Macaca fascicularis: one gene and its partner. The protein of the gene in region 2 purifies or fractionates together with the protein of the main gene of each other region. This does not show direct contact. Links are inferred from orthologs where the notes say so. Each region holds a gene or a part of one and is shown on either strand. Other genes may lie near its edges.

Region 1 (5,766 bases), about 45 Mb from region 2:
AGCCTCCCAGGTAGCTGGGACTACAGGCGCTTGCCACCATGCCTAGCTAATTTGTTTGTATTTTTTGTAGAGACAGGGTTTTGCCATGTTGCCCATGCTGGTCTCAAACTCCTGGGGTCAAGCAATTTGCCTGCCTCAGCCTCCCAAAGTGTTGGGATTACAGACATGAGCCACTGCACCTGGCCAACATCATTTTTAATGGCTGTATCATGCTCCATTATATATAAAATACTCCATAATACCGTAATTCCTCCATTTATGAACATTTAGTTCCTTTCAGGTTTTTACCATTATAATTAACAAAGCAGTGAACATCTTCATTCAGAAGTCATAGACTGTATTTCAAATTATTTTCTTAGGGTTCCTGCCAAGCAATAAAAAGACTAGGTAAAATATTGTGAACCTTTTCAAGGTTTTGATACATACTACCAAATTGCTCTCCAGAAAGATTTTTCCAGTTTATCCTCTCTCCAACTGTGTTTAACAATGTTTCTTTCATTACTGACCAGCACTGAATTTATCAGTTTTAAACATTGCTAATTTGATAGGCAAAAAAACTTGTGCACAGTTTAAATATGCATTTTGGGCCAGCGCGGTGGCTCACACCTGTAATCCCAGCACTTTGGGAGGCTGATCACCTGAAGTCAGGAGTTTAAGAGCAGCCTGGCCAACATGGTGAAACCCTGTCACTACTAAAAATACAAAAATTAGCCTGTAGTCCCAGCTACTGATGAGGGTGAGGCAGGAGGATCGCTTGAACCCAGGAGGCAGAGGTTGCAATGTGCCGAGATCGTACCACAGCCTGAGCAATGAGTGAGACTCCCTGTCAAAAAAGCATTTTTTGACCTGGACATTTTTCACATGTCAGCCAACTCTTGCTCAGTTCCCTCTATCAACAATATATTTGGGGTGTTGCCCACCTAATGCATTTGTTGAGTATTGCCCGATAAAAAAATAAAAATTAAAAAAAAATCTATTTGTACAATAGTTGGTCAGAGTTCAGGAACTAGGACCAAATTTTCTTACATGTCAAGTATTTAAATTCCTTCAGCATATTTAGACAGTATGTTATCTTTCAATTTGATTTATTTGTTTGGGTATGTATTTCCTGTCGTCCCTCCTCCTCCCTGCCCTCCCTCTATGGAACATAAGTGCTTCGAAGGGAAGAGTTTGTTTATTGTTGAATATTCAGGGTACAGAACACTGTCAGAAATAGAGTAGACACGGCGGGGCATGGTGGCTCACGCCTGTAATCCCAACACTTTGGGAGGATGAGGAGGGCAGATCACAAGGTCAGGAGTTCCAGACCAGCCTGACCAACATACTGAAACCCCGTCTCTACTAAAAATACAAAAAAAAAAAAAAAAATTAGCTGGGCGTGGTGGCAGGTGCCTGTAGTCCCAGCTACTTGGGAGGCTGAGGCAGGAGAATCGCTTGAACCTGGGAGGTGGAGGTTGCAGTAAGCCGAGATCGCGCCACCGCACTCCAGCCTGGGTGACAGAGTGAGACTCCGTCTCAAAACAAAAAAGACGAAGAAAGAGATAGACACTTGGCAGACCATTTGGCTAATTGTGAAGCCAATTTGCTTGGAGGAGTAGCAGTATGATGTGGTGGTTAAGGGCACAGATGAGGGTCTCTGCTTTGCTAGGCACTAACTATGTCCTTGGACAAGTGACTTAATCTCTCTCTGCCTCTGTGTTCTGTCACGTTGGATAATAACAGTTTCTGCCTTGTTAATTTGTCAAGGATTTAAATAAACTCAGTATCTGGCACATAATTAATGCTCAATAATTGTGGTAGTTGGTGTAGTTAAGGTTTGGCAAAGGGAAATCAGTTCTAGAACCCTGGCCTTTCGATTTCCAACAGTGGTATCCATTGAAATAAAATACAGTGAGAATTTGGAAAGCTTCTGTCAAAGAGGGTGATTTTATTTTATTTTATTTTATGTTATTTTATTTTATTTTATTTTTTTGAGACAGAGTCTCGCTCTGTTGCCGAGGCTGGAGTGCAGTGGTGCAATCTCAGTTCACTGCAACCGCCGCCTCCTGGGTTCAAGCGATTCTCCTGCCTCAACCTCCTGTGGAGCTGGGATTACAGGTCCCCACTACCACGCCTGGCTAATTTTAGTAGAGATGGGGTTTCACCCGATGTTGGCCAGGCTGGTCTCGAACTCCTGACCTCAAGTGATCCGCCTGCCCTGGCCTCCCAAAGTGCTGGGATTACAGGCAAGAGCCACTGCACCCAGCCTGACCCCATTCTTGTACTTACGGCTTTTAAATCTTGGGGATTTTGGACCGTCTTGGCAAATCCTAAGTATCATCTTCATTCTTCCTTGATGTTTGTGAGTATGAGATCCCTGCCCAAAACTAGGCTGTCCCCACTTGGGATTGGAGTCTGAAAACTGACTTCACTCAGCCCCAGAGTCAAGGTCAGAAGCCCCTCAACCTCGGTATTTTAAGTGCCTTCATTCTCTCTGGCCCAGAAACCAGGATGTGGACCACGCCAGAAGTGACCAGCCCCCCACCATCCCCAAGAACATTCCACACATCATCCGCAGCCATTGGAAACCAGCTGTATGTCTTTGGGGGCGGAGAGAGAGGTGCCCAGCCTGTTCAGGACACGAAGCTGCACGTGTTTGACGCAAGTATGGACTGGTGGGCACCTTGGGGCTGGTCAGGGCCATCCCAGTCTACAAATTACCTAATGTAGGAAGCAGAAGTTAAAAAAGGAAAGCCTGCTGGGCGCGGTGGCTCACACCTGTAATCCCAGCACTTTGGGAGGCCGAGGCGGGCGGATCACAAGGTCAGGAGATTGAGGCCACGGTGAAACCCCGTCTCTACTAAAAATACAAAAAATTAGCCGGGGGCGGTGGCGGGCGCCTGTAGTCCCAGCTACTTCGGAGGCTGAGGCAGGAGAATGGCAGGAACCCGGGAGGCGGAGCTTGCAGTGAGCTGAGATCGCGCCACTGCGCTCCAGCCAGGGGGACAGAGCGGGACTCCGTCTCAAAAAAAAAAGGAAAGCCTGTTTCACTTCTAGACTTCTTTGTTATATCTCTTACCTGGTATCTTTTTCCCACAGCAAAATTGGCATTTAAAAAGGGATAATGAGGCCTGGTGCCCCAGAGCTTTGGGAGGCTGAGGCAAGTGGATCACTTAAGGTCAGGAGTTTGAGAACAGCCTGGCTAACATATCTGGTCTCTACTAAAAATTAAAAAAGTATCCGGGCATGATGGCACGCACCTGTAATCCCAGTTACTGAGGAGGCTGAGGCAGGAGAATCGCTTAAACCCAGGAGGAGGAGGTTTCAGTGAGCCAAGATGGGGCCACTGCACTCAGCCTGAGTAACATACTCTGTCTCAAAAAATAAATAAATAAATAGATAAATAAATAAATAAATAAATAAATAAATAAATAAATAAAACTAAAAAGATAGGCCGGGCACGGTGGCTCACGCCTGTAATCCCAGCACTTTGGGACGCCGTGGCGGGAGGATCACCTGAGATCAGGAGTTTGAAACCAGCCTAGCCATCATGGCAAAACCCCGTCTCTACTAAAAATACAAAAACTGTCTGGGTGCAGCGGTGGGTGCCTGTAATCCCAGCTACTCGGGAGGCTGAGTCAAGAGAATCACTTGAACTCGGGAGGCGGAGATGGCAGTGAGCCAAGATCGTACCAGATCGTACCACTGGACTCCAAGTGAGCCAAGATCGTACCACTGCACTCCAGCCTGGGTGACAGAGCGAGACTCTGTCTCAAAAAAAAAAAAAAAAGAGGGCCGGGCGCGGTGGCTCAAGCCTGTAATCCCAGCACTTTGGGAGGCCGAGACGGGCGGATCACGAGGTCAGGAGATCGAGACCATCCTGGCTAACACGGTGAAACCCCGTCTCTACTAAAAAATACAAAAAACTAGCCGGGCGCGGTGGCGGGTGCCTGTAGTCCCAACTACTCGGGAGGCTGAGGCAGGAGAATGGCGTAAACCCGGGAGGCGGAGCTTGCAGTGAGCTGAGATCCGGCCACTGCACTCCAGCCTGGGTGGCAGAGCGAGACTCCATCTCAAAAAAAAAAAAAAAAAAAAAAAAAAAAAAAAAGAACAGAGATAATTCTATATGTTACATTTGCATCCTGAATTTTTCACTTAAGTATTGTTCCATGCAATCAGAAAGTCTTCACCAACATTTTGAAATTATTATTATTATATAAATATAAATATTAGAGTCAGGGTCTCACTGCATTGCCAAGGCGGGTCTCAAACTCCTAGCCTCAAGTGATCCTTCAGCTTTGGTCCCTCAAAGTGCTGGCATTATAGGCATTGAGCCACACCACCTGGCCTTCACCATCATTTTTAATAAGTGCTTAGGTTGGGCGCGGTGGCTCGTGCCTGTAATCCCAGCACTTTGGGAGGCCAAGGCAGGTGGATCACAAGGTCAGCAGTTTGAGACCAGCCTGGCCAAGCTGGTGAAACCCCTTATCTACTAAAAATACAAAAATCAGCTGGGCACGGTGGTGGGTGCCTATAATCCCAGCTACTCAGGAGGCTGAGGCAGCAGAATTGCTTGAACCCAGGAGGCGGAGGTGGGTGGATTACCTGAGGTCAGGGTTCAAGACCAGCCTGGGCAACATGGTGAAACCCTGTCTCTACTAAAAATACAAAAAATTAGCTGGATGCGGTGGCGGGCACCTGTAATCCCAGCTACCAGGGAGGCTGAGGCAGGAGAATCCCTTGAACCTGGGAGGTGGAGGTTGCAGTGAGCCCCGATCATGCCACTGCATTCTAGCCTGGGCGACAGAACAAGGCTCCATGTCAAAAAAAAAAAAAAGTGCATAATATTTCATCATGGCTGTACCAATAATTAAACCTGTTGATGGACACTTAGGCTATTTCCAATTCTTCTTTATTATAAACAATACTGTAATGAACAAGCCAGGCATGCTGACTCATGCCTATAATCCTATCAGCTCAGGAGGCTGGAGAATCGCTTGAGCCCAAGAGTTTGAGGATGGAGGGAGCCATAATTGCACCACTGGCACTCCAGCCTTTGCAATAGAGCGAGACCCTGACTCTAAAAAAAAAAAAAATATATATATATATATATATATACACACACACACACACACACACAATAAGGAACATATTTATGCAAAAACCATTTCAGGTAATTTTAAATTAAATTCCTTGGGACACCGGGGGCTCCTTGAACAACCAGCAAGCATACCATAAACAGTAATTCAAAGATAAATTGTTTGGCAGACCTTTGCTTCAACGAGTTTTTGCAGGCCAGGCGCGGTAGCGGTAACATGCCTGTAATCCTTTGGGAGGCCACTTTGGGAGGCCAAAGCAAGGGGATCACTTGAGGTCAGGAGTTCAAAACTAGCCTGGACAACATGGTGAAACCCTGTTTCTACTGAAAATACAAAAAATTATCCGGGCTTGGTGGCGGGCGCCTGTAATCCCAGCTACTTGGGAGGCTGAGGCAGGAGAATCGCCTGAACCGGGAGGCAGATGTTGCAGTGAGCCAAGATCACACCACTGCACTCCAACCTGGGTGACAGAGCAACATTCCATCTCAAAAAAAAAAAAAAAAGGTTTTGCAGTACTCCTTTAAGACTTTTCTGGTATATAGATATGATTAATTTTTCAGAATTCTATATATGTTCAGCTTTGAAGATAAAAAGGGTTGCCTGCAGTAAAATATAATAATAATCAAATTCATAACTCTCATGTATTATGTACTTTTTTTCCTTCATGCTTTAAGTATATTATCTCATT
Region 2 (6,425 bases):
GACTAGAGCTTGAAAAAGGGAGTCCCACCTGGTTCTTTGGAAAGGGGCGATGTCATCTCCAGGCCCCTTTTACTTGTTCCCCTCCCCTCCCTCAAGCTTTAGCATTAGGAAACTGTCTTCTTTGAGATGTCCTCCCACCCTACCCCAGCCCGACTGCCAGCCTTTTCAACTAATAAATATATTTAGCCTCCTCCATGTCATCTCTGAGTTTTAAGGATGAGAAAGGCCAAAGGACTTAAGCTGGGTCAAGGTCATGCTCACTTACCCTGATTGTGTGTCAGGGGAGTCCTGGTGAGTGGGGCTGGCTCAGGCAGCTGCTCCAGGATCCATTCCAGGTGCTGGGTGATTTCGGTGAAGGGGGCACGGGTGCTGGGTTCCAGCTGATGGGTAGAGACGGGAATGGCTTCACTCAGTGCTCCGAAAGAGGGTCTCTGAGTTTCCTCCCATCACCTGGGTCCCATAGGGCAGCCATGGCAGCTTATAGATGGGGGCAGGGTGGAGCGGAAGGGCTGTGAGGCTCTTACGCTGCAGCAGTGGATGGCCAGAAGCAGGAAAGGCAGTGGACAGTCATCCCCCACTAGAGTTCGGAAGGCAGGCACATCCAGGCCAAAGTCCTGTGGGGACAGAAGGAGGGACCTCCAAGTCAGCTTTTCTTGGGTTCTCCTTCTGCTCCCCAGTCAGAACCTCAACCTCTAGGGAATCCTCCTTGGTTATGAGCTGGCTAGTCTGGAGTTCTTCGTTTGCAAACCTGGAGACATTCACCTCAGTGCGTGGTAGGTAGTCAGGGTCTGCAGGTACTCGGGCGATGAGCTCACAGAGGACAATTCCGAAGGCAAAGACATCAGCCTGGGGGTCAGAGATAACAGTGTCGTGGAAGAATTAACAGTTTTCATTTCAGAATTTTGACAGAATATAGCTGAATTTGGTTGAGGGTGGGGGATCTTGACAGTTTTCATGTGTTGGAAGGGTGCCTGTGAGGGGCAAAGGGATCTTGGGGACTCCTGAAGATCTGGTAGGGTTGTTTTGGGGATGGATGGGGCTTTATGAGAAAACCTCAAGGGTCTCGGAAGGCCTTGGGGATCTGAAGGGTTGATGTCTCACCTTCTCATCATACAGCTCACCCCGTAACACCTCTGGAGCCATCCAGTATGGGGAGCCCACCACAGCCAATGGCTCCTTTCTTGCCCCCTCCCTGCAGGGGCAGGGGCAGGGTGGTCAGAAACATCCTACTCAGGCATCTCCCCCAGGGAAAAGGGGATGAGGTGAACTCCCTTCTCTCCCCAAGGGAAACATCGCTGGGGCTCTGGGGACATCAGATAGGGGCACTCTGGGAGATTTGGGGGGAACAGGGACATTCACCTCACCTATACACAGGAATCTTTTCAGCCAGCCCGAAGTCACCCACGACAGCGGTGAAGCCTCGATCTTCCCGTCGGACTAGACAGTTCTGACACACACACACATAGTATCCCCAAGCACTCATCACCTTCTGCCCTCTGGCCTCCCAATGTATAACCCAAAGCCCTGTCACTCCAGCATAACCCCAACCCTCTCTGCTCTCCCAGTTTTTCAAGGCACTTCAATATTGCAACATCACCCAACACTCCAAACACAGGGTGCTATTCAGTCCCTCCGAGCACTCCCCTCACCCTGGTCCTCCAATATTCTCCAATGCCTCGCCACTCCAACATCCTAATATATCTGTTATCCACATTCCAATGTCCACAGGACAGTTACAACCTAATAGTCTCAAACCCTCTTTCATGCCTCCACCCACCCCACTAGCCTACCTTGGATGTAAGGTCCCGGTGAAATACACCTTTGGAGTGCAGGTACCGCAGGCCTCGGGCAATGTCCAGGGCCAGGCGGAGCCTGACAGGCCAGGATAGGGGTTCAGGGGAGCTGAGCAGCTGTTCCAAGGTCCCCCCATTCATATACTGGTGCATAGGAGGAGAATGGGAATGGATGTCAGACTTCAGTCTGTATTCTAGGTCCCCCACTTATAAGCTAGGGGACACTCCGGAGGATCACAGAGGTCAGAGGGGTAAGATTGTGCTGTAGGACCCTCCATCCATGTTCTAGGGTTGCCCTGTTCAACTCAGTAGCCATTAGCCATGTGCAACAACTTAAATAATTTAAAATTTTTAAAATTTAATCAAGTTGACCCACAAAAAAAATCTAAACAATTAACATAATTTAAATTTAACCACATGTGGCTAGTGGCTACTGTATAGGACAGCACAGATAGAGAACATTTCCATCACTGAAGAAAATTCTATTGGACAGCACTATTCTAGGGGATACAGAGAATAAGACCAGCTGAGGCCTTTTATACGTGGTTTGCCTAAAGGGAAGTTCAGGAAAGCCTCCCCTGGGAGGAGATCCTGTTGCCTCTCACTAGTCCTCCGTAGATCCACCAGGCCTGTTCACTGCCTTTATCCTTGGGGGTGAAGGGGGGGTGGGGATCCCTCCTTCCTGGTCTATCCTCACCTCTGTAAGAGCGTGCAGCTGTCCCTGGTGCACACAGACCCCCATGAACCTGCAAGAGAAGGGGGAAGATAGAAGGGTAGGCTGTTAAGGGCCTCAGCTCCTCCTCAGTTCCACGTTTCCCGCGGGATCTTTCCTTTTCTCTCCCGCCCAGCAAGCTGCCCAGAGACTGGGGCCGCTTACCTTAGGATGTTGGGGTGCCTGAGCCGGTTCATCAGTTGCACTTCTCGTAGTGTGTTGCCCCGGTTACTGGGGAGCTTGTTCATCTTCAGCACCATGACTTGCCCTGACTGTCGGTGCCGAACCTGGGGGCGGGGGCGGCCGGCGAGGGTCGGGCAGGTCGGGAGGGTCGCCCGAGTCTGGACCCTCTTCCCCGCACTCCCGGCCCCCTAGTTGCAGCCTCTGGTTGAAGGCTCGGTCCCGCCCCTCTGCCCTCTCGGCCGGTCCTACCTTGTAGACCTCAGAGAAGAAGCCGGCCCCGATCTTCTCCGCGCAGTGAAAATCGTCCACACGGGCCAGGCTAGACACGGCGCTGCGGAGAGCCCGGTAGGAGGAGGGGCGGCCGCGGCCCGGGCCTCCGCCCGCGCCCCCCGGCCCCGGGGGCCCCTCCCCCGGCACCTCTCCAGGCCCGGGCCCAGGGCCCCGCAGTGGGGGCCGTTCCCCGGCCATGGCCGGGCCCCCAGCCCGGGCCTGCCTCACATGGCAGGGTCCCCGGGGCCCGGGCAGGCCGCGCTTGCCATGGGCGCGGGCCCAGCCAGATCCTGGGCGCCCGGACTCCCGCTCCCGCCTTGAGAATGAAGATCAGCCGAAGATCCTGGACCCGCCCCCGCCGCGCCGGCTAGCTGGGCCCGGGTGGACGCCGCGCCGCTCCGCTCTGCGTAGGCCTGGGCTTGGGCCTGGACCGGGCAGTGGCGGTGACGGTGGCGGCGACGGTGGCGGCAGCGCTCCCGGGCGCCGGCGGGCTAGCTCGCCGCGGGCGGAGGCGGGCGGGCGGCGGCTGCTCCGCTTAGCCGCCGGGGCTCAGGCTCCGCGGCCTGCCGGGGGCGGGGCTGGGCCGGGCCTCCGCTTAACTCCTTCCAGCCCGGCCTCCCGGCAGCGGCCACGCCCCCTCAGGTGCGCACCCCCGCCTCCCAGCTCTCCGGCCGCGAGGCCCTGGGCCGTCCGGGTCAAATAAGCTCAGGCCTGAACTTGAATAACGAAAGGGAATTAAGGGCTGATGGTGCGCATGCGAAGCTTAGCTGCCCAGGGAGTCCCCTGTCCTCCCTGGGACTGTCCGTTGTGGGTCGGGCTCAGAAACCTGCCGGATTCTTGGGCTCCAGGGACCAACGGGGCAGAAACGTAGGCCCCTCAGGCCCAGTCGCAATCTGAGGCAGCCCAGCAACCTGTCCACCTTCCTGGCCTGCGCCGCGGCCCAGCCTGCCCATTTCCCAGGTCTCTTCGACTCCGACACCTTGAACCTCTGGCCTCCCTAACACCTTCTACCTTCACGGGAGGTTGTGATACCTCGGGGCTATAGGGAGCCTTTGGCCGGCCCATACCCAGCTTAGCCCCGACTCCTCACTTCATCCTGCCATCTCCCAATAAAGAAGAGAGTCCAGGTCCTCCGCCCTGTGACTACCCAGCCGGGATCTCCCTCTTATTACTTTGTCCAAATGACTCTAAGAGAGAAGCCACCACCTGCAGGGAAGCCCCTCCTTCCGCAAGATCCCACCCCCTCAAAGAACGCTTTCTCTCGGAGACACCTCCCTTTCGGGAGCACTTTTCCCCAGTGTGGCACTGCCACCGTCAGTGTGTGTCAGAACCCCTCAGTGCTGCACCCCCTTGCTCTGTGTTCCTCCCACGCAGTGAGACCCCACCTCCGAGTGACTCCACTAAGTCATTGTGACCCCTCCTCTCAAGGTGACTCCTCCCCTCAGTGTGACCCAGCCCTCCTCAGTGTGAGGGTTCCGCCCTCCACGTAGGAACACGGTCTGTCCCCTCAGGCCAGAGGAGGGGCTGCAACTGGCCTCTTTAAGTCGGCGCGGTGCCCGGGTGCGCATGCAGTCTGCGGACTCTGTGCACTTGCCGTACCAGATACTTCCGGTTCTGCCGCTGGCTCCGCCTCCGGCCTCGGCAAAATAGCCAATCATCGCCAGGGTTGGGTGGTGACACGCGATCCCGGCAGGCCACTCCGGGGCAAACGGTTTAAATGGGCGTCGTTGAGCCGCTTGCCCCCTAGCGGCGGAACGGTAGGCGGCGGGAGTGAAAGCTGCGGTACCGGGTGCGGAGGCCGGCTCAGAGAGCTGAGGAAGCGAGGCTGCGTCCGTCAGGAATTCTCAAGTACTGTATTAATATTTCTGTAGTAACCTTAAAAGAAAATTAATACAAGCACAGTCCGTATCGCGTGGGGTTACCGTCTTCCAATGGAGTCTGGTTACACGTTTATGAGAGTTGGAGCCAAGAAGTACTACTCAGTTGTCGAGGGCTACTGAGAAAAGAATAAAGACGGTCATAAATGATACATGATGCCTTAGAGTCAAGAGAAGGCCAGATGCTGTCTTGGTGCGCCGTACAAGGGAAGGTATTGCACAAGTTTGGAGCGAGAGGAAGGGAGACGTTCGCAATCCTTCCACAGCCGGTGGAGGCAGGCCAGCCGCAGAATTGCCCAGGGCACATGCATCCTGTTCTTTTTTCTGGAGGCGTTTGGTCTCAGCACACGCTCATTCATCATATTTAATGCTAACATCTACAACTATTTGTGAATTTGCTTTCTATTGTTGTATGACATCTGTAAACACTAGGAATTTATGCCTCATTTTGTTTAAGTAATATCATAGATCTTTTAACCGATATTGGGTTCTGGCCCTTTATCATGTTTGAGAATTACTGTAATAGTAATGGTAATTCCAAGCCAAAGAGCCAGATGCCTATTTTGGAAAGATGATTGCGGTGGTTGTATGGAGGCAGGGAGACTGATTAGGAAGGAGGCTGTGACTGTGGTTTAATCAGGAGAGGATGAGACCAGCCTGGCCAACACTGATTAGGAAGGAGGCTGTGTCTGTGGTTCAATCAGGAGAAGATGAGACCAGCCTGGCCAACATAGTGAAACCCCGTCTCTACTAAAAATACAAAAAAATTAGCGTGACGAGGTGGCGGGCACCTGTAATCCCAGCTACTTGGGAGTCTGAGGCAGGTGAATCGCCTAAACCCGGGAGGCGGAGATTGCAGTGAGCCAAGATCGCGCCATTACACTCCAGTCTAGGCGACAAGAGCGGGACTCTGTCTCAAAAAAAACCTTTTGTTGTTGTTTTTCAGACTTTTTATGATGGAAAATGTCTTAACACATACACACGCGCAGAATAGAATAATGAATGTTTATTTACGTTGGATTAGTAAGACCATTTTGTTGGAAACCCATAGTGCAAAATTGGTTTGCCTTTGCCTCAGTTGTACTGTTGTCATATTTGACCTGGCCTAGGTGAAAGTACCGCTTTCATTTACCCTTCTATACCAGTGATTCTCCAATGAGCAATTCATGGCCAATCTTGTTTCATCTATACCCGTGCCCTCTTCCTCACTCCGTATTTGTGTATATTTCTGACATATCATTTCATCCTGTAAACTTTTCAGTATGTTATCTCTAAATGATAAGGATTCTTCTTTAAAACCAAATCACAGTATTGTCACACCAAAAAATAACGATAGTTCCTTCATATCATCAAGCATCCAGTTGTTTACATTTCCCCCACTGTCTTACGTTTGATTTTTAAAAATTGTTTATTTGAATCAAAATCCATTAGGCCTGTACTTTACAGGTGATATGTCTGTCTGTCTCTCTCTCTCTCTTTTTTTTTTTTTTTTTTTTTTTTGTGAGACAGGGTCTGGCTCTATCACCCAGGATGGAGTGCAGTGGGTTGATCTTGGCTCACAGCAACCTCCACTTCCGAGGCTCAAGCAAT

The links.
Region 1: the proteins of TESK1 (region 2) and RABEPK purify together in Homo sapiens (affinity purification with mass spectrometry; 3 studies listed by BioGRID and IntAct, with this or other methods). This does not show direct contact. The link is inferred for Macaca fascicularis from reciprocal best matches to the Homo sapiens genes TESK1 and RABEPK.

What each region holds. Positions count from the first base shown.
Region 1 is NC_088389.1:18,838,069-18,843,834, reverse strand, and holds part of RABEPK (rab9 effector protein with kelch motifs), read left to right. Parts: intron 1-2,482; coding exon 2,483-2,644; intron 2,645-5,766. UniProt on the Homo sapiens protein: Rab9 effector required for endosome to trans-Golgi network (TGN) transport.
Region 2 is NC_088389.1:63,792,638-63,799,062, forward strand, and holds the start of TESK1 (dual specificity testis-specific protein kinase 1), read right to left. Parts: upstream 3,517-6,425; 5' UTR 3,157-3,516; coding exon 2,938-3,156; intron 2,793-2,937; coding exon 2,671-2,792; intron 2,540-2,670; coding exon 2,491-2,539; intron 1,938-2,490; coding exon 1,791-1,937; intron 1,448-1,790; coding exon 1,365-1,447; intron 1,193-1,364; coding exon 1,102-1,192; intron 847-1,101; coding exon 763-846; intron 615-762; coding exon 525-614; intron 381-524; coding exon 266-380; intron 1-265. UniProt on the Homo sapiens protein: Dual specificity protein kinase activity catalyzing autophosphorylation and phosphorylation of exogenous substrates on both serine/threonine and tyrosine residues.